Linked DNA regions of Saccharomyces cerevisiae S288C. The protein of the gene in region 2 interacts with the protein of the main gene of each other region in a pairwise test. Each region holds a gene or a part of one and is shown on either strand. Other genes may lie near its edges.

Evidence for each region.
Region 1: the proteins of YPT35 (region 2) and YIP5 interact in a two-hybrid assay, tested with the Saccharomyces cerevisiae proteins (2 studies listed by BioGRID).
Region 3: the proteins of YPT35 (region 2) and KTR3 interact in a two-hybrid assay, tested with the Saccharomyces cerevisiae proteins (2 studies listed by BioGRID).
Region 4: the proteins of YPT35 (region 2) and RBD2 interact in a two-hybrid assay, tested with the Saccharomyces cerevisiae proteins (2 studies listed by BioGRID).

Annotation. Positions count from the first base shown.
Region 1 is NC_001139.9:196,474-204,759, reverse strand, and holds YIP5 (Yip5p), read left to right. Parts: upstream 1-4,617; coding exon 4,618-5,550; downstream 5,551-8,286. Other genes in the region: YGL159W (uncharacterized protein), read right to left, coding at 927-2,039; AIM14 (putative metalloreductase), read right to left, coding at 2,487-4,199; SUT1 (Sut1p), read right to left, coding at 5,723-6,622. UniProt on the Saccharomyces cerevisiae protein: Possible role in vesicle-mediated transport. May be involved in proper membrane localization of Rab GTPases.
Region 2 is NC_001140.6:320,010-328,167, forward strand, and holds YPT35 (Ypt35p), read left to right. Parts: upstream 1-4,756; coding exon 4,757-5,401; downstream 5,402-8,158. Other genes in the region: SBE22 (Sbe22p), read left to right, coding at 405-2,963; GRE3 (trifunctional aldehyde reductase/xylose reductase/glucose 1-dehydrogenase (NADP(+))), read left to right, coding at 3,400-4,383; thioredoxin-disulfide reductase TRR2, read left to right, coding at 5,589-6,617; septin CDC12, read right to left, coding at 6,804-8,027.
Region 3 is NC_001134.8:630,248-638,878, reverse strand, and holds KTR3 (mannosyltransferase KTR3), read right to left. Parts: upstream 5,258-8,631; coding exon 4,043-5,257; downstream 1-4,042. Other genes in the region: DUR12 (bifunctional urea carboxylase/allophanate hydrolase), read left to right, coding at 1-2,176; FTH1 (Fth1p), read right to left, coding at 2,336-3,733; LDH1 (triacylglycerol lipase), read left to right, coding at 5,498-6,625; COS111 (Cos111p), read right to left, coding at 6,937-8,631. UniProt on the Saccharomyces cerevisiae protein: Possible glycosyltransferase that transfers an alpha-D-mannosyl residue from GDP-mannose into lipid-linked oligosaccharide, forming an alpha-(1->2)-D-mannosyl-D-mannose linkage.
Region 4 is NC_001148.4:84,009-92,105, reverse strand, and holds RBD2 (putative rhomboid protease RBD2), read left to right. Parts: upstream 1-6,808; coding exon 6,809-7,597; downstream 7,598-8,097. Other genes in the region: IQG1 (Iqg1p), read left to right, coding at 1-1,484; signal recognition particle subunit SRP68, read right to left, coding at 1,790-3,589; UDP-galactose transporter HUT1, read left to right, coding at 4,073-5,092; YPL245W (uncharacterized protein), read right to left, coding at 5,156-6,520; YPL247C (uncharacterized protein), read left to right, coding at 7,910-8,097. UniProt on the Saccharomyces cerevisiae protein: Probable rhomboid-type serine protease that catalyzes intramembrane proteolysis.

The DNA.
Region 1 (8,286 bases), on a different chromosome or scaffold from region 2:
CACCAATTTATTTAATTTAAATGTAAGCTTCACCAAGCTGGACGACCTTTTATCATTTTAAGAAAAACATAGAGATTGAACATAAAACTGAAAAAATTTCGAAGGAACAATAGAAATCTTCGGTTTTCTTGTTAAATCACTGATCATATTTTTGGATTTTTGAGGTGATCTTCTGGAATATTCTGTATATAATTTTCATTGCTTTCGTCCAAAAATGGAGTCTCGAAAATTTCCATACAAGCCTACATCTTTTTAATAATCAGCGGCTATCGAGGTGGAACATAAATATGGTTAAAAAACAGGAACATTGTTTCGCCGACATCAAATAGAGAATAGTAAATCTAAGAACTATAACCCTATGACATTTGTCTATTTTCCATATGCGCGTTAATGAAAAATAACTTTAATATTGGCTATGCACAGATCGACAGAGAAAAGTCACCAGCCTCTCTTTAAAATATGGCAAAAATCTTCATATCTGTTCAATTCTTTTTCTATTGCTAATTTCTTGAAATACATGTTGAAAATTGCTCCTAGCTTTCGTTAGATTGATGACGGTTATAAGAATTATGGTATTATTCATGTAATTAAGTCATTTTAAACTCTATATCCGTAGCGCGAATAAATGGTCCTAACGTGCTATACCGTGGAGGATAGACACCTGCAAACAGTATACGGTAATTGTTTCTCCCTTCATAACACTAACATTGCCTTTTTTTTTCTTTCATATTTTATGATGTTGTTTTCTTTCTGCACTTTACTTTTATTCTTTTAATAAATATAAAAAATTGCAAAATTTCTATCAAACTGCTCATATGTAAACATCAAAAATCTCTTCCGGATCGTAAGATATTAAAAAAAGTATCATATTTAAAAACACTTAAGAACCCTTTTGAATATAAAAAAACTAGAAGCCAAGATGCAATTTATTCCTTGTTTTCTGTGTTTTTTGTTCTCAAGCTTAAGAATTCCTTAGCAAGCGCCACGTCCATAACCGCTAGACCAACAATTTTACACAAGGTGATAGTTCTTTTGCAGCCCTTTTCGTTCAAATTCAAAACTGTGTTTTTCAAAGTATCTAATTCACCAATTTCGATGAGATTATGTGGAGCGATATTGGAATCGATTAATTCTCCAGATTCCAATAAAGTATGTTCCCTTGAATCTACCAAAATGCAAGCGCTTTCATTATCAGATTTGAACTTATCAATCAACTCCTTATCGCATTCGTGCATCACTGGTTTGTAACTTCCAATTAATGAGATATAAGTATGTTTCTGCTCCACAGAAGCTTTACTGTTTAGCAACTGCCTCAAAAACAAGTTGGGCTCTAGAGTAGGTAGACAACCAAAGATAATATCACTGTTAGAAACAGCGCCATTACCTTCTGAACTGATGTCGTTTATTTGATACTGATTAAGCTCTATCTTTATATTACTTCCAAATAAGTTTTTCAATGATTTCAAACGATCCAAACTCATCATGTTATTGTGATATAGTATGTTTATTTCAACTAACTTCAAAGATTCGCCAACAATCCCTGACATGATTAGTTTAATAGCTATGTATATGTGCCAAAATGCTTGGAGACCGGTACCAAAACATGTTAAATAGCAAGTGCCATTTTCAAATCTAAACAACTTATCATGGGAACATGAGAGTTGCTTATATAAACCGATACACGATGCAAGGGCAGTTCTTATAGCGGTAATTTGTTTAGCCTCAAAACATCCGATTAATTTTCCTGTTTCAGGCTCAATAACATTTATCACACCTTGAAAATTTTTGTTGTTGTTATTCACAAGAATTTTTATTCCTGAAAAATCCTTGCTCACAACAGGCATGAATATATGGGATATGTTAGAGTCTGCATTGGTTTCATCCAATTTTTTGAACATCCTATTGAGCAGTATCTCATGGTTTTGAGAATATAATCTCAATGACTCGTGCAAGCTGAGAAGAGATTCAATAATTGTTTGAGAAGAGCAGTTTAAGTAAAACTCTCTAACCTCATCATCAGTAATTATGGAATTGTTCATATCAGTTGAATCAGTTGCCAGATAACAATAGCTAAAGAGATGATAGATATCAAAAAGAGCCGATAACGTTGGCCAGTAAATTATATTTGATTTTTAGAGGACATGGCCACAGGCCGAGCTTTTCGATCCTTTTTCCTACTGCCCTCTTGAAATATAAACCGAGAACAACAAGAAAAGAAGCTTTTTGCTAATGTAGCTCCCAATTTTTTTGCAGACAGCCTCCATTTTAAAACGATCATCTCTAATATATCTCCATTTACCGATTAATAATGCGTACAACCTGTCAAGTGTATTCTAATAGCCGCGCAAGAAAGCATATAAACTAAAGGTCATTAAAAAACAGATATGTATTTTTTGTTTTCTATATACTATAAATTAGCATCTAATGTCGTGGAATATCATTTCCGAGCATATTGCGTAAGACATTATTATTCTTTTCTTTTCCCCTCATAATCCGTAAGTCTCACAGACAAAGTTGATCCTTTCATCGTTACAATATTTTTTAGACAATTGTAATAACGAGGGAGGACCACATGAAAACAACCATGTTTCATTTTGGTTCACTTGTGCACTTTCATTGTTGAAGCTCTTCAATTCGTTGGAAAGAGTAAAACTGTGTTTGGATTTTACCTCGATCATGCTTCCATTCTCTTTTGTGGGGCTATGACTTGTCTCTGGCGTATTGTCATTGCTGTCCGCATTTTCTGAATTGAAATTAGAAATCGAAAGGTCTTCGTCTTCATTGTTGAAAGATCCCATTTCATATTCTGAGTTTTCATCGTCGATATTGGTCGTAATTTCGTCTAACCGTGTTTCCGCCGTGTATTCTCCACTAATAAATACTGAAATCCTCTTATTATTCGAGAGTTTTTTCTCAAAAGTCAACCCATTTGTCTTGAGATAATCCAAAACAAGTTCATATTCAGAGTAATCTTTTATCAGCCAGATCATTTTCAAGTATTTTACATTCTCCTTGTTAAAAAAATGCCTAAATAGTGGTAGGGCAAAAGATATACCAGACCCACCACATATAATAGCTATATTCGTGCCTTGAGAATAACATTCTTCGGGTACAGAGGGAGGATAACTATTAATCAAAGTATAGGTTTTTTCTTGATCTAAATGAAAGGATTTTGGATTACTACGAAGAGACTCTATCTGGCTACCTGGCTCGGCTGTAGAGGTTTCCTTTATAATAAGATCAATTGAATTGTCTTCTGCCAAAGACGCAATTGTGTATGGATGCGATGGTAGCAACCAATAGAGGGGATTAATTCTTCTGTAAGGGCTTATTCTAATATGCGACCCTGGTTCAAAATAATCTGGAAGAATAGCCCTGGGCAATCTTACATGGACTAAATTTGTTTTTGAATAATTCGCATTCTTATTCAAAATCATCAAGGATTTCGCAAATACTATTCTATTGATAATATGAATGAATAATAGGGTACAGTTTAGTAGAAGAAATGGGAACTTAACACCTGGCCTAGAGTGTATTGGGGTGAGTAAGATGAAGGCCACGTTCACCAGGTTATGTACGATGTAAAACAAACGATAGTTGTATCTTCTCATTGGCCCAATCGAGCAAATAAGTAAAAAAAGTACCAATATTGATATTATGAATCCCGCAAAATTGAAAGTTTTCAGAATCAATTTTTGCTTTAGAGAGACATTATCGTCTATCGCCCACTTAATGATGAAGAAAATCCCATGAAGCAAACCAATCACGGTGATAATACGTGAAAACCATTTATGGAACGGTATAAAATCAGTGTAGGTGCAATTTTTCCTAAGGAACCAATTAGGCCTTAAAGTGAGGAATAGGTTCAGCGGGATCAAGGCGTAACTCAACCTCCCTAATCTTTTGAGATAGACCGTAGATTGGGTAGTCAAAGAGTAATGGTAATAAAATGGAATCAAGACTGCAAAAAACAATATACCTAAGTGAATTGCAGGATCTATATCATACAACCGATAAATTATCTTATTTTTGAAAGCTGACGACGATCTGGATGGGGTTCTCCTTCCGAAAGCTCTCAAAAGAGCCAATCCAATGAGATAGACCAATGATATTATCAACACATAATACCCATACTTGATATTGGCAAAATGTGTCTCGGAATGTCTTTTAACCAACGTTATGAGAGGGGATTCTTTCATATTTATTGGAAGGCTTACCAAATTAGAAGTTTCTGGCGACGAGATATGGAAAATGTAGTTTTTAAATAACACGTCTACAATATAAGGAAGGAAAAGTCAAAATATTTTAGCGCCTTTAAGTGCGGTTGAGACCCCATAGTAGTATCCCTACAAATAATAGTTAAACTGTATTTTCAATACATAACGTAACAGTATATCGGTATTACGGAGCAGCGATCAATTAAACGCTATTTACCCGGCTGTGTATTATACCTAATTTCTCAAGCAGTGAAAATGTATCAACGTCCTACGCTCAAGGTAAAAGGGGCCAAGGGCAGCGACCACATTGGATCCAAACGCATTGGTTCTGTAGTTCTTTTTTACGCTTCATCCACGATTGTATACTAGCAAATAGGATTGACTCGACAAAAGCAGAAAAATGCCGTCCAATAATAGCAGTTTTTTAGATATTGACGATGATCTCGAGGGTGTAGATGATTTTGGCAACGAGCCCAACCCATTTGATGATGCCACCGTACCTGATAGCCCAAACATGAATAACTCGACTGCTGGAAAGGGTAGCGAATTTTATAACACAACGGGCAGTAAGGCAGAATCCGCACCATTACAGGGTCAAATGGACCCACCAGCGTACGACCAAGTGATAGGACAGAATGACAACGACGGTCTTGGGCGTAATGGATTGAGGCCAGGATTGATAAACTACTATTCTAAATACTTCCAGATCGATTTGACGCAGTTCAAAAAGAGATTGTCCGCGGTACTGACGTTTAGAAACGATCATAATTCCGAAAGTAACGAAGATAACACTGATTTATACGGTGCTGTATGGATCACTGCCACGGTGGTAATGATCAATTTTACCATGAGTAGGGGGTTAAATTTTATTATCAGTGACGTAATTGAGGGCGTCAAGACTGGTGAGGACATCGACAGGGCCAGTCAGTTTAAGAAGCTACTGCATTCTATTTGGCTATTTTACGGGTACACGTTCGGCGTACCATTTATTACCATGCAAGTATTGAATAGAGATGAGCACTCGGAGCGCAATAGAAGCTTCAAAAGTGTTCCTGAATTGATTTCCGTTTACGGGTACGCTAACTTGATCTGGATACCCGTTTGTGTTATATTGAATATATTGGATATGTCCAAGCGCCTGAGGACTGTTCAAGCAATTCAATGGGCAATTGTGGCTCTTGGGTGGGCACAGTCGTCTTATTTCTTGAATTCTCAAATATCGAGTAATAATAATACGGAGACACAATCGAACGGGAAATTTTCGCTGTCCATCATCGTTGTCGTTGCGCTGCATACTTTATTCTGTCTATTGTTCAGGTTTATAATATTTTGAAAATATGCGCACGTCTATACACACAATACTTTTTATGACTAGTATCATTGTATACTCTTATTATGTAGGGTTATACATGAGTGTTTATACGTTTTCTGTGTGTACATATATATCCATATATGTTAATGCTAAATGCAAGTTTTGTGATGCTATTCATTAGAGATGCCTTTGTCTAAAAATCAATGCTTTTATAGTCATCATAGGTTATGTCGTAAATGGTTTTATCCTTAAATTTTAAGGAGATTTTGGATGAAATGTTTATGTCAGCTCTGGTAAAGCCTTTTGAAAAAGTACATTTATCATTTTTTGGGAAATTAGTGGAAGAAGAAGAATGCTTTTTCTTAATGCATGGTAAACAAGGTGTGAGCAAAACCAACTTATCAATATGCTTAATCAACTTGCGTGAGCCTGTACCCTCAATGACATCATCCGGTATGGCAATATTCCGCAACAGCGTGCCTCGATATAGCCGAATATCGTCAGGAGTCAAGACGTACCGCAACTTGTTCGAGATCATTGGCATTATAGTATCGTCTTGAAGCAAAATCTCAATTTTCGCATTACATTTTATTTTTTTCAAACGACATTTGTCACAACTTGGGCCACTTCTTTGTCTCTTGGAAATTGAACTAGTAGATGTGGCAGAGGAGGTTGTCGAGTTGCTCGTTGAGCGCGAAATTATAGACATTTGAGTGCATGACGCATTAGCGTCTTCATTGACCATGGAAGCAAGAGCATGAGGATGATACTCAAACAATGGTGGAGTGTAATTTTGTGGAGGGGGAACAATCGCACTTACGGGGAGCGTTGGCGGCGGCGTCACCGTGGCAATACCAATAGCGCACTCATTACTGTCAGCGGCAGCAGGCTTTAATCTCTTATAGCCTCCTAAAAGCTCGTCAGTCGGAAAAGCCCGCTTCCTCGTCCAAGTGGTCGACAAGAGTTCTGGATCGGTGATGCCCACATTTTGGGTGCCTTTACGCCGTATATCTTTTTCTAGCAGGGAAACATTGGGGAGCAATAGCGGTGGTAGCGATCGATCTCTATTTCTTACTGTAATGCTTGTGGACATCTTCTTTTGACATACGATGACCTCAATGATTTAGATTATGTGTTGCACTTTTATAGACCTACCAAAAATCCAGTGCGTACACTAATACTTTCATAAAGATACCTGAAACAATAACCAGAAAGATCGGCAAAAAAATTTTTTTTCTTTGCCGAGATCACAAACCTACTATGACGAAAAAGCTTGAAGTTTAGATGAGTAAGGAAAATACAAGTGACGCTTTTATATGGTGCAAGGAACAAAAACTAAAAACAACAAGGCAAATGTGGATCTGTCATGTATGGCAACGACAGCAGGATGGCTCACAAAAAAAGACAAAAAAAACTAAGGCAAAAGAACAAAGCTCCTCTCCTGCTCAAGAAACGTATTGTTGAAAAACCACCGTCGTAAGAAAGTTTTTCTGTGACCTATAATGGTTTAAAATCGGCCCATTTTTTTTCCCTCTTTTGTGGTCCAGTCTTTCTCATACTCGAGGGAAATTCGACACAAACAGCGGAGAAGTGTGGCTAAACCGGCAAGTGCCTGCAAGATCCACAGAACTAACCGCACGAACTGGCGGTCAGAAAAGAGCCTGTTCCGGAAAGAGAGAAACAGAGAAACGATCATGATGGGAAAGCGGGGATTCGGCGAAGAACGAGACTGGAAAGGGAAAAAGAGAAATACTGGTGGAAGTATTCGGACCTTTGGCGAAGTCCGAACCCTTGAAACCCAAAGATGATCGATGATTCATTTTTCAATGCGCTACGGTTCCTGCCGCTCGTGGGAACCCCACGCAAAACATATTATTCGCTTCTCTCTGCTGACAACTCCGGTTTACGTTATACCGTATTAGGATCACTATAAGGGTTCCTTCGGGAGGAGGGGGGAGGGGAAGAATGTACATCGTCATAAGGCCTTTATGGTGTGAAGTGGGTTTTGCGTGGAAAATTCGTTTTCAATGATATAGAGCCCACGCATATACGTACATACTAGTGGCCAAAAGCGTGGGGTGGGCGGACAAAGCTACACTGGTAAAATACAGGATTCTATGAACAATAACAACAACCAGCTCACGTTGCTGAACAGCCGAGGTCAGCCGATGCAACCGAGGTTTCCAAAGTAGCATTTCTGTGCTAGCTATGTCTGTAGGTTTACATTTAATGGTGCGTGGTTCCAGCTTCATGTGCTTGCATGTGATGTCCTGCAGATGGTAAGAAGATTCTGAAAGCCGCGCTAGGAGAAAAATATTCTGCTCGAAGATCTGTCCTCTTAAGTAGAAAGCGTGAAATTGTTGCGTTCTTGCATTACTACTCAACGCGTACGCAAATGCGTCTACTGCACCTGCATGATAAAGCTTATGTATCAAAAATTTAACATCTTGAAAATACACAAGTGGTGCAAAGATGTGTCACGTTCTGGACCTGAGTGGTGCCATGTATGCTATTTAACATGCAAAGGGGAAGACCCTTCCGCCTTACTGCAATAATAAAAAGTATTTTACGCGTTACCCAATATAGCAAAGTTTCGCGCAAAAAAAAAAATAAAAAACAATTACAAACAAAAAGAAAAAAAAGGAAATAATAGAAGATCTAACTGAAGCGAAGGCCAAAACTCTTCTCACTTGACGTAATAGCCGATACAAAATCTAGAGCAGCAACTTTTCTCTTTCTTCACTAAAGCTGCTACGA
Region 2 (8,158 bases):
ACCAAACCTCGCCATTTGTTTTTTCCGTTATTTTTTCTTCTTATAAACGCGCCTAGAAGAAAAAACCGTGCGAAGCGCAAATCCTGAGAAAGCGCTAAGGAGGTTTCAACCAATGTTTACCACTTGAAATTTTAGCATTCTCATCACTGTAAGAGAGATAATTATCCTGTAAACATTCCAAAATACCTTTTGTAACGCTGATTGTTGTATTTGTTACCCCAGAATTGCCATATATAGTGGAGAAGAAATCGAAAAGGTCATATACAGCAGAACCAAAAAAAATAATACATTCGTTGATCCTTTACCGTTTTCAAGAGTGAAACGTGATCGTGTTTATACTTTTTCGACTCAAATTTGTCCTTATCTTTAGTTAATACGGTCTAACTTGCCACGCTACTCAAGAAATGACCTCGATTCAGGAGCGAGGCACAAGCGCTCATCTGCATTCGCTTAAAGAAGGTGAGGCTAGTGATCGTTCCAGCGAGATGCTTCCTAAACAAAGAAGTATCATAGGATCCCACGTGCAACGTCCACCGTCTCAAACAACTTTAGGAAGGTCAAGGGCTGGAAGCAATACAATGAATAAAGTTTCAGGCTTAGATATTGCTCGAAGACCAAGTGAGAATTTATTATCAAACATGAACTGTAGCGACAACGGCAATGGGGGAAATATGCTAAATTCATTCGTTAACTCGGCTTTACCACCGCCAAAAGTCAACCCTGCTCAAACAAGACGTGAACGTCCCGCTTCAAATAGCTCAATAGGTACCAAGACTACCGAGGTATTTTCATCCACTTCTGCATCTTCCTCCTTGGGAGATACCAGCGATGAGGGAGAAGGCAGTGATGCCGACAAATCTAAAATAAATACTTTTCCCAGCATATTGATGGAAAAGGCTACTCAAGGTAGAGGCGCTGATGGAAATGGAATGAGAAGCGCAAGCAATAATACCATTGTGGAAGCAACTACGGACGGTTCCAAAATGGCACTGCAAAAAAGCATGTCGTTTGATGATACAGCCGCAGAGAAAACTATGAATAAATCTAGACATTCTTACCAAGAACAGTTCTCCTCGAAGAAAAGCCAGTCATCTTTACTGAACAGCAAGCAAAGATCACGTGCTAAATCGCAAACATGCTCGTCTACGGGTTATAACAACAGCAGCATTCTGAAAACGTTTGGCATAAGCTCCAAAATTTCTAATTCAAGTGATCGGATAGAGGCTTCGTCATTAGAATTTAACGTTCCATCTCAGAAACCTTTGAATTGCAAGCCATTAACTCCGTCTCAGAAATACAGACTTCGTAAAGAGCAATCGGAGATGAATTTAAGAAATACAATCAAAAGAAAAGAGAAATTTTATGATAGTCAAGAACAAATTCTTGAGTTACAAGAGGGAGACGTTGATGATTCGTTGATTTGGAACGTTCCTATGGCATCATTATCTACTAATTCATTTCTAGCGTCTGCTAAGCCCGATGATATGAATAACTTGGCTGGCAAGAATGACTTATCAGAATATACCGGAGGTTTGGTAAATGATAACTCTGAAATTTCTTATACAAAACAAAATCATAGGTACTCGAACATCTCTTTTGCGAGTACAACATCAAACGCCTCATTATTGGACTTTAATGAGATGCCTACGTCTCCGATTCCAGGTTTGAACAAAGTAACTGATTTTCAGTTCATTCAAGACACAACCAAGAGTCTAGCCTCTGTTTATTTGCATTCTTCCAATAGGCTTTCAAGATCTAAGCTGTCCGAAAGAACAAAGTCTTCCGATTTCTTGCCAATTGAACTAAAAGAAGCTCAAAATCAAGGCATGGAAGATTTGATACTTGTCTCGGAGAACAAACTAGATGTGGTCAGCCATTCAAGACCGAGTTGGTTACCACCCAAGGATCGCCAGGAAAAAAAGCTTCATGAAAGGCAAATTAACAAAAGCATGAGTGTTGCTTCCCTTGACCAACTAGGAAAAAATAAAGACAGAGAAGAAAAGTTGATTAGAGATGAAACAAATAGGCAAAAATATGTGTTATTATTGGACAGAGATATAACTAGAAACTCCTCCTTACAAAGCCTAAGTAAAATGGTTTGGGACACTCCATTTAGTGACGAAACTAGGTCAACAATTTACAGCGAAATTTTACAGAGCAAGACTAGGTTTATTACCAAAAACTATATTCAACCATTTCATGAGCTACAGGAGCTTTTAACAAAAATGGGAGACTTTCCTAAAAACAAGGAAATTGAAATATCGCAGCTAATCGAAACAAGTTTGAGGCGAAAAGTGAGCGGTTTACATGATATATGTCCTGATTTGATGCTTTTATTGAAGATAAAATCTATCTCATCACAGGGTATAGTCACCGGTGATGAACTCCTTTTCCATCATTTCTTGGTGAGTGAATCATTTCAGAACCTGGGGCTAAACGAGATTTGGAATATTGTTAATTTAGTACAAATGACGTGTTTTAATGATCTTTGTAAAGAAAAGTTCGATGCAAAGGTTTTAGAACGTAAGGGTGTCGTAGCCGGTTATTTATCGCAAAACGAGGAGTTCAAGGATGAATTTAATACGGAGTGTATAAACTCTACCACCTGGTGGAACATCCTAGAACGTATTGATCATAAGCTTTTTATGTGGATCATGGATATTATAGTAGTCAACAATTCCCAGAGCTACAAAAATAGCCCAATCAACGAAGATGAGTTTGTTAACAAGGATTGGGAATATTACCGCTCGAAGAAAGTGGTAATAAACTACAAGATCTTGATTTCATTTGCATTAAATGTATTGTTAAATTACCACTTTGGATTCACTGATTTAAGAAGTCTTTGTAACGTGAATGACCAGAGATTTTGCATTCCAGTATTCATCAATGATGAATTCGTAGACGCAGATACTGTAAATGCCGTGTTCATCAAGAAATGGGCGCATTACTACAAGAAGTTTTGATATTTTTTGTAACTGTAATTTCACTCATGCACAAGAAAAAAAAAACTGGATTAAAAGGGAGCCCAAGGAAAACTCCTCAGCATATATTTAGAAGTCTCCTCAGCATATAGTTGTTTGTTTTCTTTACACATTCACTGTTTAATAAAACTTTTATAATATTTCATTATCGGAACTCTAGATTCTATACTTGTTTCCCAATTGTTGCTGGTAGTAAACGTATACGTCATAAAAGGGAAAAGCCACATGCGGAAGAATTTTATGGAAAAAAAAAAAACCTCGAAGTTACTACTTCTAGGGGGCCTATCAAGTAAATTACTCCTGGTACACTGAAGTATATAAGGGATATAGAAGCAAATAGTTGTCAGTGCAATCCTTCAAGACGATTGGGAAAATACTGTAATATAAATCGTAAAGGAAAATTGGAAATTTTTTAAAGATGTCTTCACTGGTTACTCTTAATAACGGTCTGAAAATGCCCCTAGTCGGCTTAGGGTGCTGGAAAATTGACAAAAAAGTCTGTGCGAATCAAATTTATGAAGCTATCAAATTAGGCTACCGTTTATTCGATGGTGCTTGCGACTACGGCAACGAAAAGGAAGTTGGTGAAGGTATCAGGAAAGCCATCTCCGAAGGTCTTGTTTCTAGAAAGGATATATTTGTTGTTTCAAAGTTATGGAACAATTTTCACCATCCTGATCATGTAAAATTAGCTTTAAAGAAGACCTTAAGCGATATGGGACTTGATTATTTAGACCTGTATTATATTCACTTCCCAATCGCCTTCAAATATGTTCCATTTGAAGAGAAATACCCTCCAGGATTCTATACGGGCGCAGATGACGAGAAGAAAGGTCACATCACCGAAGCACATGTACCAATCATAGATACGTACCGGGCTCTGGAAGAATGTGTTGATGAAGGCTTGATTAAGTCTATTGGTGTTTCCAACTTTCAGGGAAGCTTGATTCAAGATTTATTACGTGGTTGTAGAATCAAGCCCGTGGCTTTGCAAATTGAACACCATCCTTATTTGACTCAAGAACACCTAGTTGAGTTTTGTAAATTACACGATATCCAAGTAGTTGCTTACTCCTCCTTCGGTCCTCAATCATTCATTGAGATGGACTTACAGTTGGCAAAAACCACGCCAACTCTGTTCGAGAATGATGTAATCAAGAAGGTCTCACAAAACCATCCAGGCAGTACCACTTCCCAAGTATTGCTTAGATGGGCAACTCAGAGAGGCATTGCCGTCATTCCAAAATCTTCCAAGAAGGAAAGGTTACTTGGCAACCTAGAAATCGAAAAAAAGTTCACTTTAACGGAGCAAGAATTGAAGGATATTTCTGCACTAAATGCCAACATCAGATTTAATGATCCATGGACCTGGTTGGATGGTAAATTCCCCACTTTTGCCTGATCCAGCCAGTAAAATCCATACTCAACGACGATATGAACAAATTTCCCTCATTCCGATGCTGTATATGTGTATAAATTTTTACATGCTCTTCTGTTTAGACACAGAACAGCTTTAAATAAAATGTTGGATATACTTTTTCTGCCTGTGGTGTCATCCACGCTTTTAATTCATCTCTTGTATGGTTGACAATTTGGCTATTTTTTAACAGAACCCAACGGTAATTGAAATTAAAAGGGAAACGAGTGGGGGCGATGAGTGAGTGATACTAAAATAGACACCAAGAGAGCAAAGCGGTCCCAAAATCATTTGAGTAACCGGATATCTATCGGGATATTAATAGCAGCTTCCATTTCAACTAAAACAACAGCAAGATATGAGCGACAAGATATCCTTTCTACCTCCCGAACCCATCCAACTACTTGACGAAGACTCCACGGAGCCTGAACTCGACATTGACTCACAACAAGAAAATGAGGGACCCATCAGTGCGTCAAACAGCAATGATAGCACTAGCCATAGTAATGATTGCGGTGCCACAATTACCAGAACAAGACCTAGACGAAGCAGTTCTATCAATGCAAACTTTAGTTTTCAAAAGGCTCATGTCAGCGATTGCACCATAGTCAATGGCGACCATGGAACAAAGTTTGCTGTCTGGAGAATTACCGTATTTCTTGAACCCAACTTGAAGGCTTTTGCGGCCAAGAGGGAAAGCTATAAAATCCAAACCTATAAACGATACTCCGATTTCGTCAGATTACGAGAGAATTTGCTCACAAGAATCAAGACAGCGAAACCTGAGAAACTTAACTGTTTGCAGATTCCACACCTTCCCCCTTCAGTGCAGTGGTACAGTTCTTGGAAATATCAAGAAGTGAATCTGAACAAGGACTGGCTGGCAAAAAGACAGAGAGGGCTCGAGTACTTCCTCAATCACATCATCCTTAACAGCAGCCTCGTAGAAATGACCAAAGATATACTCATACAGTTTCTAGAGCCTTCAAAACGAGTTGCATAGCTCACCATCCCTATCCAACCGACTATTCTTCTCATCGACTACTACTATCCCATTTAACTCGGGCGCGTTGTTAATTAATCACTCGATGGGGAATGCCTTGAGCTGACCGCAATGAAAACTTTTAGGGGATCGTCCAACATTAAAGGAAGAACGAAACGGACTCCACAGTTTCTAATATAAATAAACAATGATAAAACATATAGTTTCGCCATTCAGGACGAATTTTGTTGGCATCAGCAAGTCCGTGCTGTCAAGGATGATTCATCACAAGGTTACAATCATAGGTTCTGGCCCCGCTGCCCACACCGCTGCTATATACTTGGCAAGAGCAGAGATGAAGCCCACATTATATGAGGGAATGATGGCCAACGGAATTGCTGCTGGTGGCCAATTGACAACAACCACCGATATCGAAAATTTCCCAGGGTTTCCTGAATCGTTGAGTGGCAGTGAACTGATGGAGAGGATGAGGAAACAATCTGCCAAGTTTGGCACTAACATAATTACCGAGACTGTCTCTAAAGTCGATTTATCTTCAAAACCATTCAGATTATGGACCGAATTTAATGAGGATGCAGAGCCTGTGACCACTGATGCTATAATCTTGGCCACGGGTGCTTCCGCTAAGAGAATGCATTTACCAGGGGAGGAAACCTACTGGCAGCAGGGAATATCTGCCTGTGCTGTATGTGATGGTGCAGTCCCTATCTTTAGAAACAAGCCATTGGCCGTTATTGGTGGTGGTGACTCTGCGTGTGAGGAAGCGGAATTTCTTACGAAGTATGCGTCGAAAGTATATATATTAGTAAGAAAGGATCATTTTCGTGCATCTGTAATAATGCAGAGACGAATTGAGAAAAATCCAAACATCATTGTTTTGTTCAACACAGTTGCATTAGAAGCTAAGGGTGATGGTAAGTTATTGAATATGTTGAGAATTAAGAATACTAAAAGTAATGTGGAGAACGATTTAGAAGTAAATGGACTATTTTACGCAATAGGTCACAGCCCTGCCACAGATATAGTTAAAGGACAAGTAGATGAAGAAGAGACGGGGTATATAAAAACTGTGCCTGGATCGTCTCTGACTTCTGTGCCAGGTTTTTTTGCTGCAGGTGACGTTCAGGACTCTAGGTATAGACAAGCAGTTACTTCTGCTGGTTCCGGATGCATTGCTGCTTTGGATGCAGAACGGTACCTAAGTGCCCAAGAGTAACGTGAAAAAACCGGTTTATTTTTGTTTTTACTGTTCGATTGTGTTACGTATTCTATGTTTTTTGAGATATATTTGAAATATTTTTATAAGATACATATATATATGTGCGTATTGCTGCGACAAAAGAAGAGACAAAGAGATAGGCGTTGAAATTGACGAGACAAAGAGGAAGACATTAATTAATCATCATTTTAAATGGGATTTTTTTACTTGCAAGCTTTTGACCTGCTCTTCTAGTTTTTTTACCTTTCCTTGAATTTCTTCCAAGTCACCGTTCAGTCTGATTCTTTCGTTAACAATGTTTTGCTCCCATTGTCTAAATCTTTGCTCCTCAGCTTTGACTTGGTCAGTGAAATACTTCTTCAATGCATTTTCTTCTTCTTTGTATCTAGGATTGTGTGACAATTTCCTTGCTGGTGCAATTGCTGGAAGAGTGAAATCTTCATTCCCCTCCCCGGTGTTCTCGTGACCCTCAAGTCTTAATCTTCTGTATGTTTCGTAATGCATTTCTTGGGTGGTAGAAATCAAATCTAATAGATAAGTCCTCAGTAACAGGGCTCTGAGCTTACGGAAATCACAATGAGAATCGTTTTCGATTTCCACAAGTCCCCAAGGATACTTCCTTGCAACTACCTGAGTGCCTTGCCCATTGTCAAATTTTTTTTCAGACCCTACTATGGCAAATGGCATTGCTTCTATCAACTGTCTTGCATGTTCAACAGCGGCAGAATCTGGATTACTGCCACTTTTGGCATCTTCCTTAGAATCAGCGTCTAATGGAGGCGTGAAAATACGAATTTCTTGAGCTTCTATTACTTGCCTGATTCTGGACTTGAACTGTTGTAATTCTTGGGCAGTCAATGTATCAGCTTTCGCAATAACTGGAATCAGATTGGCTCTGGTTGACAATCTCTTCATAGTCTCAATGTCAATTGGCTTTAAACCATGTCCAGTGGGCCTGATGAAGTACAGAACGGCATGAACTCTCAAGTCAAATTTCTTAGTACGGTACGGTTGCTGCTCTTGACGCATATAAGAATCGTGTTGATCATCAATAAAATCCACCAATGGTTGCCAGGCTTTGTTGTTATTCACGTTATCTCCAAAACCTGGGGTGTCGATGACATTAACGCGTAATTCGAAATGCTTCTCTTCCAGCAAAGCTCTTGTGATGTCGATTTCTACAGTCTTTCTGATGGGTTCTTGGCGGTGTTGCTGACCATCTGCCCTTTTCAAGACAGTCTGAAATAAGGTATTAATAAATGTAGTTTTACCCAATCCGCTCTCACCACATAACATCACGGTGAATGTACCACCTTCTTCATTAACAATTTTATAACGCTGGTTGGGAAGATTGGATATCCCTACAGGAGGAGGAACAGGGGCAGCAGTCGCAGTGGCAGCACTCATTATTTGATACAATATGTGATGTAGTTCGTTATCAATACTCTTCAGGTCAAGATCCTATATCTTGCTGCACCTTTCAAGACTTTGATCTACTCAAAACAAACAATGGTGATTTCGAAAAAAATTTCGGATTC
Region 3 (8,631 bases), on a different chromosome or scaffold from region 2:
GGACGCATATTCGTTTAGATTGGCGAACAGAATTGTTGGTAATGACTACAGGACTCCTGCCATTGAAGTAACGTTGACTGGTCCATCCATCGTTTTCCATTGTGAAACTGTCATTGCCATTACTGGTGGTACCGCTCTATGTACATTAGACGGCCAAGAAATTCCCCAACACAAACCGGTCGAAGTTAAGAGGGGATCTACTTTATCCATTGGCAAGTTGACAAGCGGCTGTAGAGCATACTTAGGTATCAGGGGTGGCATTGATGTGCCTAAATACTTGGGCTCTTATTCTACTTTCACTCTAGGAAATGTCGGTGGATACAATGGAAGGGTGCTAAAACTTGGAGACGTACTATTCTTACCAAGCAATGAAGAAAATAAATCAGTTGAGTGCCTTCCACAGAATATTCCTCAATCATTAATTCCTCAAATTTCCGAAACTAAGGAATGGAGAATTGGTGTAACATGTGGTCCCCATGGGTCTCCAGATTTTTTTAAACCTGAGTCCATCGAAGAATTTTTCAGTGAGAAGTGGAAGGTTCATTACAACTCCAATAGATTTGGTGTCCGTTTGATTGGACCTAAACCTAAGTGGGCAAGAAGTAATGGTGGTGAAGGTGGTATGCATCCTTCAAACACTCACGATTACGTTTATTCTCTGGGTGCAATTAATTTCACGGGTGATGAGCCAGTTATTATTACTTGCGATGGTCCTTCCTTAGGTGGTTTTGTGTGTCAAGCTGTTGTCCCAGAAGCAGAACTGTGGAAGGTTGGACAGGTTAAACCCGGTGATTCCATTCAGTTTGTGCCACTTTCTTACGAAAGCTCGAGATCCTTAAAGGAATCTCAGGATGTTGCAATTAAATCATTGGATGGTACTAAGTTAAGGCGCTTAGACTCTGTTTCAATTTTACCATCATTCGAAACGCCTATTCTTGCACAAATGGAAAAAGTGAATGAGCTTTCACCAAAGGTTGTATACAGACAAGCAGGTGATCGTTATGTTTTGGTGGAATACGGTGATAATGAAATGAATTTTAATATTTCCTATAGAATTGAATGCCTGATCTCCCTTGTGAAAAAGAATAAGACTATTGGTATTGTTGAAATGTCCCAAGGTGTTAGATCTGTATTGATAGAATTTGATGGTTACAAAGTCACTCAAAAAGAATTGCTTAAAGTATTGGTGGCATATGAAACAGAAATCCAGTTTGATGAAAATTGGAAGATAACTTCTAATATAATAAGATTACCGATGGCTTTCGAAGACTCGAAGACTTTGGCATGTGTTCAAAGGTATCAAGAAACAATTCGTTCGTCTGCTCCATGGTTGCCAAATAACGTTGATTTCATTGCCAATGTAAATGGAATTTCAAGGAATGAAGTTTATGATATGTTGTATTCTGCCAGATTTATGGTTTTAGGTTTAGGTGATGTCTTCCTAGGGTCGCCTTGTGCTGTTCCATTAGATCCTCGTCACAGATTTTTGGGAAGCAAGTACAACCCAAGTAGAACATATACAGAAAGAGGTGCAGTCGGTATTGGCGGTATGTATATGTGCATATATGCTGCTAACAGTCCTGGTGGGTACCAATTAGTGGGTAGAACAATACCAATTTGGGACAAACTATGTCTGGCCGCATCTTCTGAGGTTCCGTGGTTGATGAACCCATTTGACCAAGTCGAATTTTACCCAGTTTCTGAAGAAGATTTGGATAAAATGACTGAAGATTGTGATAATGGTGTTTATAAAGTCAATATCGAAAAGAGTGTTTTTGATCATCAAGAATACTTGAGATGGATCAACGCAAACAAAGATTCCATCACAGCATTCCAGGAGGGCCAGCTTGGTGAAAGAGCAGAGGAATTTGCCAAATTGATTCAAAATGCAAACTCTGAACTAAAAGAAAGTGTCACAGTCAAACCTGACGAGGAAGAAGACTTCCCAGAAGGTGCAGAAATTGTATATTCTGAGTATTCTGGGCGTTTTTGGAAATCCATAGCATCTGTTGGAGATGTTATTGAAGCAGGTCAAGGGCTACTAATTATTGAAGCCATGAAAGCGGAAATGATTATATCCGCTCCTAAATCGGGTAAGATTATCAAGATTTGCCATGGCAATGGTGATATGGTTGATTCTGGTGACATAGTGGCCGTCATAGAGACATTGGCATGAATTACCTTTTGTTGGCATCTAAAATCAAAGGAGCACTCATTTAGTCTTTATAGCATGCCTTTTTCTAGCTATTTTTAATGACGAATATATATGTACATAGTATTTACTGTAAAATGTATGAAAAGAAGCTTAAAATTATTACGTGTGTTTGTTATGTTCTCAATTTGCTGAACCACTGCTATCAATTATTAGGGGCACAGAACTATCTTTGGACCGTCTTTGACTGTCTGGCTCTGATGTGCTAGAGTTGAGTTCAGAAGTATGATGTTTGAGATCGAGCGATGCCTTGGCAATGCTTAATCTTTTCATAATACGTTTCTTTTGCCAGCTAATAGGTAGATATGGGATATATCCGTATTTTTCTTCTATCATTAGCAGTTTCAAAGCGCATATTAATACCAACCAGTAGGCGTTGTAGCTAATTACAGAGCCGACGGTAGCACTATTCGTCCAACCAAAAATGGCAGTAAAAATCATCCAACCTCCATCTTTTTCACCATTGCAACAATTAACATGCCAAACAGAACGAGATATGTCGTACGAACCGGGTCCATTTCCTACTTCACTCATGTCTTGACCGTTACATTTGTTGACGTAGTCTTGCAATTCAAGTTGCCATACACCTTTGGAAAACAAACCAGCCGCGATCAAGTAGAGGAAGCAGGTGGCGACTACAAGGCATATCTTAAGTGAAAGAGAACTTGAGTACCTGAAGAAAAAAATACCGAACACCGTACTGATTGCAGTAGCAAGGACCATAGAGAGGGGAATCGAGGATAGTGGTTGGTCAATACCGATACCTCCAATGAATACAACAGCTTCTAACCCTTCTCTCAAAGTCGTTATAAATGGTAATATGAAGAAGGAGTACTTTTCACTGAATTTCACACCTTTTTGGGTTTTGTTTCCCAGCAAATTATTGTCCTTTGAATAAATGATAGAAGCTAATTTCACTCTGAACTTCTCTCTTAACTTCCCCATTCTTAAAAAAAACAACCCCATGACAGAAATAATAACGGACGCGACAAGACTTAAGACACCTTCATAATAATGTTCACTCAGTGTCCATAAGTCGGTTCCAATATGATAAAAGATACTAACAAACGCACCCCCGATTAACATACACAGCAACAAACCAAATGCGCCGCCCGCTAGAATTTGTATTTTTAATTTCTGATATAGCTTAACGTTGTCAGCCGTATGTTCATCGGACTCGCGGTCCTGGTCTCTAAGCTCATTAGAGTACTCGTAAATTTCTTCTTCTTCCTCCACATTTAGCGGCCTCGATTTATTATTAGCAGCCGTAGCGGACGTTCCAATAGCATTACCGTCTGAAGGCCCTGCTTGTAAGAAGGCAGTGGTCGAATCTGCGTTTGTGTTCGTATTTGGACTTGGAAGACCAGCAGAAGAGGAACTTCCTTCAAACGGGCTGTCGTCCTCAACAGACAGACCTTGTTTGACGATCGTCAACAGGATAGAAACAATGACAACAATTTCTAAGGATTCCCTTAAGAAAATGAAGAATATCTGGAAAGAAAAATAATCCTCAAACGCCATGGTGACTAGAAATATGAACACCACTCTAGTTCTCTATTCTTAGAGTTTTTTCGCTTTTCTGTAGAGGACAAAAGTTCAGTAAGATGCTTGATTCTTTATAATATCAAGTTTGTGTTTTTGTAGGCTGGTTTAGATACAATTTTGCTTTTCTCTCTTCATCTCCGGCCGCACCGCACCCATTTTTGAACCCAAGAAGGCACTAGAATAAAGTGAGGTGGCTACTACATTGAATTATGTGTATATAGATAGATACATGTTGACGTTTTAGCACCTGTTTTGACGGAGCAGGCGCTATTTGTAGTTTGGTTTTTAAATTCCTGGTGGAAGCTTGTAATTTCCTGCTGAAAAGTACTTTCTAGTACAGAAGTAGTCAGGAGTCCAGGTGACGTCCTTGCTAGGTTCGCAGATACACTTGTTTTGTAGTCTAATCTTCTGTTCGATAGGACAAGAGGTGAAATCTGGATGATGGAATCCAAGACCGTCAAAGAAATGGATTTCTGACTTGTCCAAGAACAAAGAGGCAGCGATGGAGTGCACTGGCGCATCCCCCCATCTTTCGTAGAAGAATCCACCAGAACTGTCTAAGTAATCAAAGTATTCTCTGTATGCATCGGACCTGAAGAAGTCTAAAGAGCCGATTTCGAAGTTGGTCCAGAAATGACACATATTATAAGTGTCACCATCATCATTCGAAATGAATTTCATGAGGTTATTTTTGTGTAAGAATTTAGGATTTTTCTTGATGAATTTCTTTGTCGTTTCCCACAAGGTTGGGATTGTGCGCTCATATTCACTTACCGAAAGAATGAATCCATATTTCTTGTTATTTACTTTTAAAAACTTGAATATGTCATACTGAATATCACAGAATAAAGTGATATCGGTATCCACTCTCCAAAACCATTCGTACTCCTCCAGTAGTGGGTGTCTCCATATGAACCCTGACTGGAAACGGCACATGTGACGGTAAGGCACGGAACTACCATATGGAATATCCAATTTTCCCATTGCAAGCCTTTTCTCATCGAATTTTTCAGTATCGATCCAAGATGGAATGGACCAATGGTCCTTTGGGATTGTCCCATATTTTGCCTTGCCTGAAACCAATGCACTGGTAACACGTTTAAACTCATCACTAAATGGTTGGTCATTCAAGAACACCCAATCGTAGTGATATCTGTTATTGAACCTGTCTTCAACATGTCTAATAGATTTTACCAAGTTCCATAAATCTGAATTCCTGGCCAATGTGACCATAACACCCTTTTCCTTCTTTCCATCGTCCACGGGATGGATTACTCCTTGTGACTTGTCAGTAAACGGCATCAAATAATCCTTACTGGCTACACGACTGACACTGGTGCCCTGAGCTATTGGTACCTCTGGGGACCTTGAGCCACTCATGAAAAATAAAAAGGATAACACTATGATGAGCCCAATGAATGATGATCTGATTCCCTTTTGGTATTTTCTAATCAGCAATGCCGATTTGGGCATTAGCTTCTTTTTGTGGTGCACAGACATAATTGCACGCTGGATATTGATAGTGTTGTTGTCCGCAGACGAGGCCTGACCTTCTTTATGCAAATTTTAACCATCAGTTACGTTGTTTTCTTCGAAAAGTTTCAAGAGGACGCGCCATTCTTTTAACCCGGCAATTTTAAAGGGTTCATTAATAAAGAACTACCAAGATGGTACAGTCGCATTTGGATCGTAACTCAACGTTAGAAGAAAGCCTTAAACCGAGAACTTTTTCTCTTGGTAATGAATATGGCAGAACGTGCAGAAGCAACAAAAAGTTGGTCCTGTGAGCCCCTTTCTGGAAAGACGCTAGAAGAGATTGTTCAAAATGCAGAAAATGCAGCTGATTTGGTAGCTTACATTCGCAAACCAGAGGTAGATTTGGACTTTAGGTTGAAGTTTATCGCAGAACATGAGGAGTTTTTTAATGTACAACTATCGGATCGAAATTCAAGAATAAGGACGTGTCACAACTTGAGCGATAAAGGGATACGGGGTGATACTGTTTTCGTCTTCGTGCCTGGGTTGGCTGGCAACTTAGAACAATTTGAACCCTTACTCGAGCTTGTGGACTCTGATCAAAAGGCATTTTTGACGTTAGATCTGCCCGGCTTTGGTCATAGTTCAGAATGGAGCGACTACCCCATGCTGAAAGTGGTGGAACTTATTTTCGTTCTTGTATGTGACGTCTTAAGAAAATGGTCTACAGCGGTGCCGAATAATGATAACGTAAATCCATTTAACGGTCATAAGATAGTGCTTGTAGGGCATTCTATGGGTTGTTTTCTGGCATGTCATCTTTACGAGCAGCACATGGCTGATACAAAAGCGGTACAAACGCTAGTTTTGTTGACGCCCCCCAAAGCACATATCGAGCAGCTTTCTAAGGATAAACATATTATCCAGTGGGCTCTCTATGGTGTGTTTAAATTGCCATGGCTATTTGACGTTTATAGAAACAAATTCGATCAGGTAAAAGGTCTACAAAGTTCCGGCATCAAGCAGTATTTTTATCAACAAGGTGATGATGTCAAGTTGAAATACAGGAAGTTCTGGCAATTTAAAAACAACATAAGCAACAAAAGTAGAACCATCATAGGTTATTTACTAGGATGGGAAACTGTTGATTGGGTTAAATTCAATGGTGTATTGACGCAAACGGATATGAAACAGAAAATTATAATATTTGGCGCTGAAAAAGATCCTATAGCTCCTATTGAAAATTTGGAATTTTACAAACAAACTATAAATAAAGAATGTCTTCGTAAAGTGATTATTTTACCTGACTGTTCTCATAATTTATGCTTCGACCGTCCAGAATTGGTGTGTGAAAACTTTCAACGAGAGGTGATTGATAATTCCAAATTGTAGAAGGTTTTCTAGATTTCACATTGCGTAACTAGATTTTCGTGCACACTGCTACATGAATTGATAAAACAAACCAGAAAAAGTAACTAAGACCAATATTTTCAAATTTTTCATAGTATACTTTATATCGTACATCTTACAAGCAAAAATCAAAGGTAGTGTCTATGTATGCAAAAAAATAGGAAACGAAAAATAAATATAAATAAATAAAGCCATGAAATGTAGAAAGGCTATGCAAAAAAGAAAAAAATAAACATCAATAATATTTGGCCAAATAAATTAACAGAACGTATGCTGTTAAAAGAGAGCAGTCGTTATATGATGCTTTCAGCATAGTAGTTATTTTCGCCAACATTTCTCCTTAGATCAACTCTCCTCAACTCCTTTAACCTACTAATCAAATTGTGTGTAATACTGTCTATTCTCAAAGTTGGTTTTCCAACTTTCATTTTGTCCATATCAATGTCATCATCCACACATAATTTAACCACTAAAGAAACATAATCTTTGGAAACTTTTGTGAGCCAAAATGAAGTTGGCTTTTCTGTTTTTAATATTGTCAACCTGAATTGTAAAGATTCTGCTTCGAGATTGGAATCAGAAGTAGCATCAGCCTCAGATCCGGCCCCATATCTAATATCAAATAAGTTTGATATTTCGAGAATATCCGGGTCTCGGCAACAATAGTTTTTTATATATAGCTTTTCGGACTTGATATTAAAAAGCTCTTCTAATCCTAAATCATCTAAATTTGAAAGATGATCCATAACCATCAATGCGACAAATTCATGCAATTTGGCATTACAAGCCCAGGAAAAATTTCTATCCAAGCCAGAGTCCCGGAAACTGAATAAGTGTCTTTCATAAGAGTTGTTTTCCATGGATTTATAATCCAAATGCTGGCGAAACGTCCTCATTACAAAATACTTTACCATATATTGCCTGCACCACACAATGTCATTCATTTTCACCTTAGTTAAGGAGCAGTAGCCACCTTTTTCTTCATTTCTATTGCAGATCATTTCAAAAATTTCAAAAGGGTTTAGCTTCTTTAATACGACGTTCTTATTGTTCAAGGTATTGTTGCGTCTGTGTTCCTCTCTTGTTTTCGTTTGTGCATCGATTGGAGGTGGGTAATCTGTCCAATTCGCCTGACCTCCAATCCAACTAGATGGATTGGTACCTAGGCTTGAAGAACGTGAGTGTTTCTTGCTTAACCCCTCATAATATTCATAACCTTTGCCAGAATCGGTCATATAGACAATTTCTAAATCTTTCTCAGGGCCTGCAGAAACACTAGACTCCTGGACAGCGGGCAACAGTGAAGATGTCATCCTTCTTCTTTCGGATCTTTGGTTGATTAATTTGAAATCGGTACAAATAACTAAATTGGAAAGGTTTAGTTCAACAAGGTTAGGACACAGGTTCAGCATATGTAAAATATAACCTAGGGGCAGATCTTTATAAGGAGCGTACTTTAAAAGAAATTTGTTGGCATACGGATGATGCGTACTAAATGGTTGTTCAATGCTAAATTTTAATGTCGAAGAACGATAATTGGATGGATGCCCCGAATCGTGCTTTAAAACTTTAAAGTCATCGTCAGACTTATCCTTCGAGTTCTTTAAATTAATCGTATTAGCTGTCCTTGCCTTTCTATTTCTTGAACTTAACCTCATTCTAAACCAGGAAGATGACGTAATGTCAGATATAGGTTTTGCTTTCTGAGGAGATGACCTTGTGGACTTCGCAGAAGCTTTTTTCAATGATCCAGCAGTGGAAACTCTTGACAGATTACTACCAGAAGAGATGTTACCATTGCTGGTATTAGACGTGGTTGAAGACAATGAGACATGGGAGGTGTTATAGATGGATGACATGATACTCGTCGTTATGGAAGCAACGGAACTATTGGAACGTTGTCTCCTTGTAGAGTGAACACCGGTGGAATTTCCAGAAGATGTAGAAGTGATAGAAGAAGAACGAGAAACCACTTTTTTCAGTTTAAA
Region 4 (8,097 bases), on a different chromosome or scaffold from region 2:
GGTACCTCTGCACTAAAATCTTCTGCTACGCGGCAGATAAGAATATTGAGGAGATTGACTCTTTAAGGGCCATATCAAGTATTCTAGTGAACGTTTTTGTGTCTGAATATTTGGTCAACCGGGAATATTACGGATACAAAGACAGCAACGTTCAAAAAAATAACCAAAAAATTGACATTCTAATGAAATCCTTGGCGACTGTTTTTGAAATCAAAAATTTTGATGGCTTTTTGGATCCATTGAACCAGTACGCTAACGAAATAAAGCCTCATATCAAAGATGTCCTTTATAATGTGTTAGTAGATCCAGAGTATGAACAAGAGGGAGATAGATTGATTTATTTGGATATGGTATCGCCAAGCCCCAAATTGGAATTGTTAACTGAAAAGGTTCTGGAAATCAGTGGTAAATTTGAAGAGTATTTAAATGAATTTCCGGAAGCAGATATTTTGCATGATATTTTGGAAAAGAACTTGGACAATTCATCCTTTCCAAGATCAGGACGTGTTACCTTGGAATTGGATGCATCTGCATATCGATTCCTCGTTAGTGATGACAAGATGAGAAAAATCTACGACCAAGTTAAAAGGGCATTTGTGTACATGATGCAAATTGAGGATGTAGATACCAATTTGTATGACCTTTCAATTAGTACAATTCTACCTCAAGATGAACCAAATTTTGCAAATTTTCTGGAGCAAAATCCTAAAATCAGGGATGATCCAATGATACAGAAGCTGAAACCATTGAAATACTTCACACTCAAAAATGTTACTTTGAAAAAAATACATGAACTAGAAAGTACGGGGACTTTTTGCTCTTCTGATAATAAGTTACAAAATTTCTTAAACGATATTGCGAACACTATTAAAAATCCCAACTATGCCATTGATTATGTAACCCAGGAAATTTACATCACAAAGGAAACACTCACAAAAATTTCGGAAATGAACCACAGCTTAGATATAGAATTATCAAGGCTTAAAAAACATGTTGATCATACGATAAAAGACTTCCAGAAAGCCAAGGATTTTTCGCCGGTGCACAAAAGTAAATTTGGAAATTTTAAGAATGCAGTAAAAAAAGTTCAAGGAAGAGAACGTTCTGAATTGCAGGGAATGAAGTTTAAATGGAACACAAAGCAGTTGTATGAAAGAGGAGTGCTTAAAACCATCAGGGGTGAAAAACTAGCTGAACTGACTGTAAAAGTCTTTGGTTCGAGCGGTCCTAAATTCCCAGATATAATATTCAAAATTTCCACATCGGATGGTTCTAGATTCGGTATTCAAATGATTGACAAAAGAAAAGGGCCCGATAAACGATACTCGGATGATGTCGATTCTTTCTCATTTAAAGACTTGATAAAGACTCAAGTTGAACCAAAAATCGAGACGTGGAAATTATTCCATTCCAACGTTGTTGTTAACAATAGCCAATTACTACATTTGATTGTCAGTTTTTTCTATAAAAGGAACGCTTTGTAATAGATAACTCGGTTTTGAGCATATTGGGCAAAAGCTGTTACTAAATTTTCCCATTCTTTCTATTTTTATCTTTGTTTTTATTTTCCTTATTTTCAGCAGCAAAAATAATTTAACGTATAGTTATGTAAAGGACCCTAAACATCTTCTTTTTAGCATGTGCTGTAATTTGGCGATATCTTCAGTAGATAAAAATAAGATGTGTTAAGTAATGCACTTCGTTATTTGGCTACTATAGTTGGCAATCATCATTTGTTTAAATGGAATAATCTATATAGTACTATAAATACAGTCATACTAGAAAAATATTAACGACCAAATAGGCCCAAGAAACCACGCTTCTTTTTAGGCTCTCCTTCCGTCTGCTCATTAGAAATTGGTGTTTGAGAGATGCTCTCGGTTTCTGTGACTGAATCTTTCACTTGAGAAGCTGAGGGCTCTTGCTTATCATATGTTATGTAGTTGAAGGCCAAATCAAAAAGTGTTGGTTTACTAGGAATGGGCAGCATTTTTGGCTTGAGAGGGAATAAATTTTTCAATTGTATGTCCGTTGGCAGTATTTTTTTACTATCCAATTTTTCAATCACTGTCAAATCATATTTCCCTAAGCTGCCACCATGATTTCTTTTTTCGTATTCCGCCAAAGTAATGACACTATTACCACCGTTTTCGATTCTCTTTTGTAAGCTTCGGACAGAATTCAATGACAAAAGATTTGCTGGAAGTAAGATTTCGTCTAGAGATTCAATTTCAGATAATTTGTTTTCTAATCTTCGGTAAGCGTCCACATATAGAGCTAACGCCTCCATATATCTGCCTTTCGACTGATATAAAACACTCAGGCAGCCCGTATTCAGAAATAACTGGAAATACAGCTTGCATAAGTCTAATTGGCTTAGCAGCTCGTCATCTGAATACACACCAGGTAGCTCCATTATGTCCGATAAATATTTTGTCAAATTCTTCACAATACGTTCCATTTCTTTATATTTGGTTAACTTCGATGGTAATGAAGTATTTAATTTCAGCCATTGATTCCATAAATGAGTAAACAAATCTCTTTCACGAGATATAGAGGTCAAAAGAATATTATATTTAATGTAGGCTAAAATTATCTGATTGTTTTCAGAACTATTTTCAACCATCTCGTCTATGTCATCTTGATCGTCGTGGTTTGCGATGAAAAATTCATGACGGTCTAAAGCTTTCTCCAATTTTGATAGCCTCTGTGTATATTGAGTAATCTGAGTTGGGTGGATAGATAGACCTTGTTCCAAAAATTGAGCAACTTCAGCATCGATTATCTTGGCGTTGAAAGATCTCCAGTTTATGTTAGTGGTAACCTTTTGATCTTCAGTTGAGGTTGTAATTTTTTTCATATTGAATCCATTGTCTAATAACAATTTCACAAGCTCATCGTCCTTGTTCTCATCAGATTGAACTCTTTCCACGATAAAGTTATTTATTTCGGGCGTTGTAATTAAATTTCCCGCGTACTGCTTGAGAGAGTACTGGTATTTATTAACAATGTTATCTACAACTTCTTCAGCTAATAAGCTTAGATTCTTCAAGTGTTCCAATGCGGCGAAAACGAGGGCTAGGTTGTTCGAAATTTTGGCATTGTCCTTCCTCTTGAACCTTTTTCCATTAATTAGGTACTCTGAATGTACCAATTTAGCGAACGCTAAATATTGGGCACGAGTTATCCATTGCTGTTCATTTTGAGTGACGTTAACCAATTTATCAGCAGTCTTGCAGGCCTTCTTCAATCTTGTGGATAAAACCTTTTCTTCACTTTTCTTTAACTTTCCTCTTTGACGAGCTCTCAATTTCAAAGTTTCAGCCAGTGCCAAGTCCCTTTCAGCGTGTAGTAAAATCAAAACACCAATCAATTTAGTTTTATTATCATAATCCTCGGAGTTAATTTCGCCATACTTATTTTTACTTGAGTATTTCTTTGTATCCTTGGTGACCAAATGGCAACGGCTCCTCAAGTGTTGCAACTTTTTATTCAATTTCGCATGATACTTAGCGAAGTCTGAGTCTGTTTCTAAAAACTGTTCTGCACGATTACCATAGGTGGCAATGATTGGAGAATAGGCAACCATCTTTAGTTTCAAGCGTGGCTAGTTTTTGATTCAATATGGAAAAAAAGAAAATTACACTGTAATATAATACAATTGATCACTTTGATGCTCAAATAATTCAAATAACCTAGTCTCCAGCTGCTCGTTTATGCTAATATTGTTGGATTAACTCTAGCAAATATACTCCAAAAAAAATTTTCAGAACTTATCACGAACAACGATGTGGTAAAGACAACGAAATACTACGTAAATCATATTGGTCTGCTCGTTTATAAAAGCTTACTCCCAATCAAATCACTGCAATGGAATATGTCGTTTGGTTCGTTGTTGTAGTTTGTGGAATGCCAGAATCATCAGCTGTTTCTCTTCCAAAGCTTCCCTGAGATCGCTTCTAAAGGTTGTTTTGTAGATCCCATCGAACATGAAAAAATGACAGCAATGTAATTAGAACCAGAATTACAACGTAACAAGAAGAAGTAAACAAGGCAGTATTCGTATATTTGTATGGCGGGAAGTACATCCAGTTTGGTGATCTGTGCGATTGGTATATATGCTACTTTTTTGACGTGGGCATTAGTACAGGAGCCTTTGGCTACAAGAACCTGGCCAAACTCCATGGGAAAGTTTCAATTCCCTAATGTAATATCCCTCATACAAGCTTCTGTGGCAATGATGATGGGCTACCTGTACTTAAACTGGAAGAAGGTGGAATATCCGCCCAGAAAAATGATTAAAGATCATTGGAAACAATTGATGTTGATATCATTTACACAGAGTAGTTCAGGCCCGCTGGCTACAACTTCTTTAAAGCACGTGGATTATCTCACTTACATGTTAGCAAAGTCATGCAAGATGATCCCCGTGTTGTTGGTGCATTTGCTTTTGTATAGGACGCCCATAGCAAGCCAAAAAAAAGTTGTAGCTCTCTTGGTAAGTCTCGGTGTCACTATTTTCACTATAGGTGGCAACGATGGTAAAAAGTTGAAGAGATCCTTTAATGAGAGCGGAAATGATAACAAATTACAAGGGTTTGGACTACTTTTCTCTAGTTTATTCCTTGATGGATTGACCAACGCCACCCAAGATAAGCTACTAAAGGCCAATAAGGCCAAAGAAAAGGGAAAACAAACTTTGATAACAGGTGCACACTTGATGTTTACACTGAACCTCTTCGTGATATTGTGGAATATTTTGTATTTTATTGTGATCGACTGCAAACAATGGGATAATGCCGTTTCTGTATTGACGATGGACCCACAAGTGTGGGGCTATTTAATGCTTTATTCGTTCTGTGGCGCTATGGGACAATGCTTTATTTTCTATACTCTAGAACAATTTGGCTCTTTAGTTTTGATCATGATAACAGTCACCAGGAAAATGGTCTCGATGATTTTGAGTATTATTGTCTTCGGTAAGAGTGTACGTTTCCAGCAATGGGTGGGGATGTTTATAGTATTTGGTGGAATCACTTGGGAAGCACTCAACAAGAAGAAGGCTAATATACCGAAGGCAAAATCTGCGTAGATTAGTGAAGATCGCAACAAATAAAAGTTAATATTTATAAAATTTGTCTATACTATGTACTTCCTATTTTTTTGATGGACGAAGCAGTCTCTCTCTTAATTCAGGATCGTATGCATAAACATACAGACCACGCACGCCACGAGTTAAGAGGACATTAATGCTATTCATAATAATCTTTTGCTTAACGTCCTCTGCATTGTGAATGTTTTTCTTTTTGGTGAAACCGGCCCTATCGTCATACAGCTCTGGTCTTAGTTTGATGCAGTCATTAGCCGCATCATACCCAATGGAACGGCCCAAAATTACACCAGCATAATTCAGATCAAACCCTTGGATAGTATACACACTACCTACCTCATCAATCGTGTCGCAACGCTCACTCCAAGGCGTCACTTCACGTGGAGTATAGCGATCCCAGCGAACTTTGAAATTGTCACCACATTCAACGTAATAGTCTTTTCCGTCCAAGCGATAGGGAAAATCGTAAGTAGATAGCATCCTACATTGGCCGTATTGACGGTCTTTCTCCTTGATTGCCTCGTACATGGCGCCACAATCATCCCAAATTTTGAAATCAAAATTCTTAATTTTATCGTCAGCACAATCTGCATTGCCCTTAGATAGCACAGATTCAATTGGTGGGATTTTACCTGCGACACTAATTTGGTCAATCCAGTTCAACACGTTTTGTGGGGCAGCAACCCTAAACTGCTGTTTTAAAGTGTACCAGTCTCTGGATTTTGGTGGAATCTCGTTGTAAAAGTCCTTTAAAGTGGCACCGTTATTAGAACCTTCATCCCAATAGGAACCCATTCTTAAAGCTTGCTTATCATCGTAAACCAATACAAGCACTTTACAAAGGGACATTAAGTCTTTGAGATGGTTTTCGCCATAAAATCTTTTGAAAGCATCCTTAGAAGTGGCCAACAAATGTGCTTCATCTACAATGACTACATCGGCCATGACTTTTCTCTTCTGTAGATTGTTGATCAACGAAGTGGGCCGTTCTAGTGACGATTTAGAAATATATTTGAAACTGTCACTAATCCGGATATATAACTTTAACATCTCGGGATGGTTGACTACCAGATAATTATGTGTCCCATGTAAGATATCTTCAGAAGAAGGTGAGAACTGGGATAGTTTCTGAATTTCATTGAACAAGGAGTTTAGAATCACAGACTTGCCTGTACCTGCGTCCCCTTGGATTACAAACATGGCCGGATGTTTCCAGTCAGACTTGTACTGAGATAAGTTGGAACGCATGAACGACAAAACGCGCTCTCTCAACTTTTCTTGTTCAGCAGAGAGTGTTACGTTAGACAACTTGTTCATAGCCTGCGTGGAGACCACGGGCCTAGGTGCTCTTCTTGGTCTCTTCACGCTTCTCACATTGCGGGAAATAGCTTTTGAAGTAGGCCCATGCATTTTATATGGTTCTAATGGAAGTTAAATGCTACTACCGGGTCGCCAAGAAAGATGCGATGCCATGCTGCATACATATGCATAGATTGTTTATATATGGCGATGGCTGCTTTTATGATTTCTCGAGAAAATTTTTCACTTTTTTCGGCCCTTTGAGATCTAAAGCCTCTTTTTTTTTTTTTTTTTGAACTGCATCGATACAAGAAGAATAGGGGGATGGGAAAGGCTTAATTGGAAGCACTGAGAACAGCAATTCACTCTGGTTGTTAGGTTGTGCTATTTGGTCGTGCTATGAATTGGAAGTCGTACGTTTTTCCCGGTGGTCATCCACCAGCTGCGTTGACCACAGGCCTTGTGGTATTTCTAACCGCTATTTACCTGTTAAGTTTTATTTTTGCCCTAAGGGAAGACCTGTCGTTGGCGCCAGAGTCATTGTTCAAACTGCAAATGAGCAGGCTATCGCTTTATCCTTTAATTCACCTATCATTGCCTCATTTACTGTTCAATGTGCTAGCCATCTGGGCACCCTTGAATCTCTTCGAAGAAACGCATGGGACTGTGTACACAGGTGTTTTTTTGAACCTGAGTGCTCTATTTGCCGGAATTCTGTACTGTTTGTTGGGTAAGTTGCTATATCCAGAAGCATTAGTTGCAGGCGCCAGTGGGTGGTGTTTCACCTTATTCGCATACTATAGTTTTAAAGAATCACAGATCCGCCCTAGAACAAGGATCTTTCGCACAGACTACTCAATTCCGACATTATATACACCCCTAGTACTATTAGTCGCAATTGCCGTCGTTATACCTGGCTCCAGTTTCTGGGGTCATTTTTTCGGCTTATGTGTCGGTTACGCCATAGGCTACAAGGAATCGTGGTTTAACAAGATCACTCCACCAGGATGGATCATCACCAAAATCGAAAAAAGTTTAGACGGTTTAATTCGATTAATACCTTGGGGAATTAAGTATTACAGAGATGAGGATATCGACAGAACTAAAGATTACGAACCGTTAATGTCCACAGAAACACCATTGCCTCTCCACAATGACAACTCCGGCACTGTCCTAGGGACTGCCTAGACATTTGTATCGCTATTCTTTCTTTCACAGTTTAAGGATGTATATAAATGTAGTATATATCATTTTATATTCTAATATGCAAGAATTTTCAGTCTCTTCTTTTTCCTTAGCGTGCGTTTATGAAAAAAAATGGAATATGAATAATTACTGGGAGGAAGACCAGGGGCAAGGGGTGAACCATCTTGTCATCTGAAATCTTGTATAAATAATTTAGTAATCAGTTCTTTAGGTTTTCGAGAGTGGCATACAACCTAAAGGGTCAACAGACAACAAGAAGGAAAGGAATTATAGGAGCAAATACACGCCCTTCAAATGGATCCCTTTCACAATGGCAATAAAAGGAGCTCAATATCGTTTGGCTCATCGCAGCGGCAGCCATATAACAAGAACAATTACTTGAGTGGTACTAATGGGCCTTCCTCGGCGGCACAAGATCAAGGTAGAGGCCCATCTCCCTTTGGAATGTCTGGCAACACTACCAATGGCGGTAACAGCAAAAG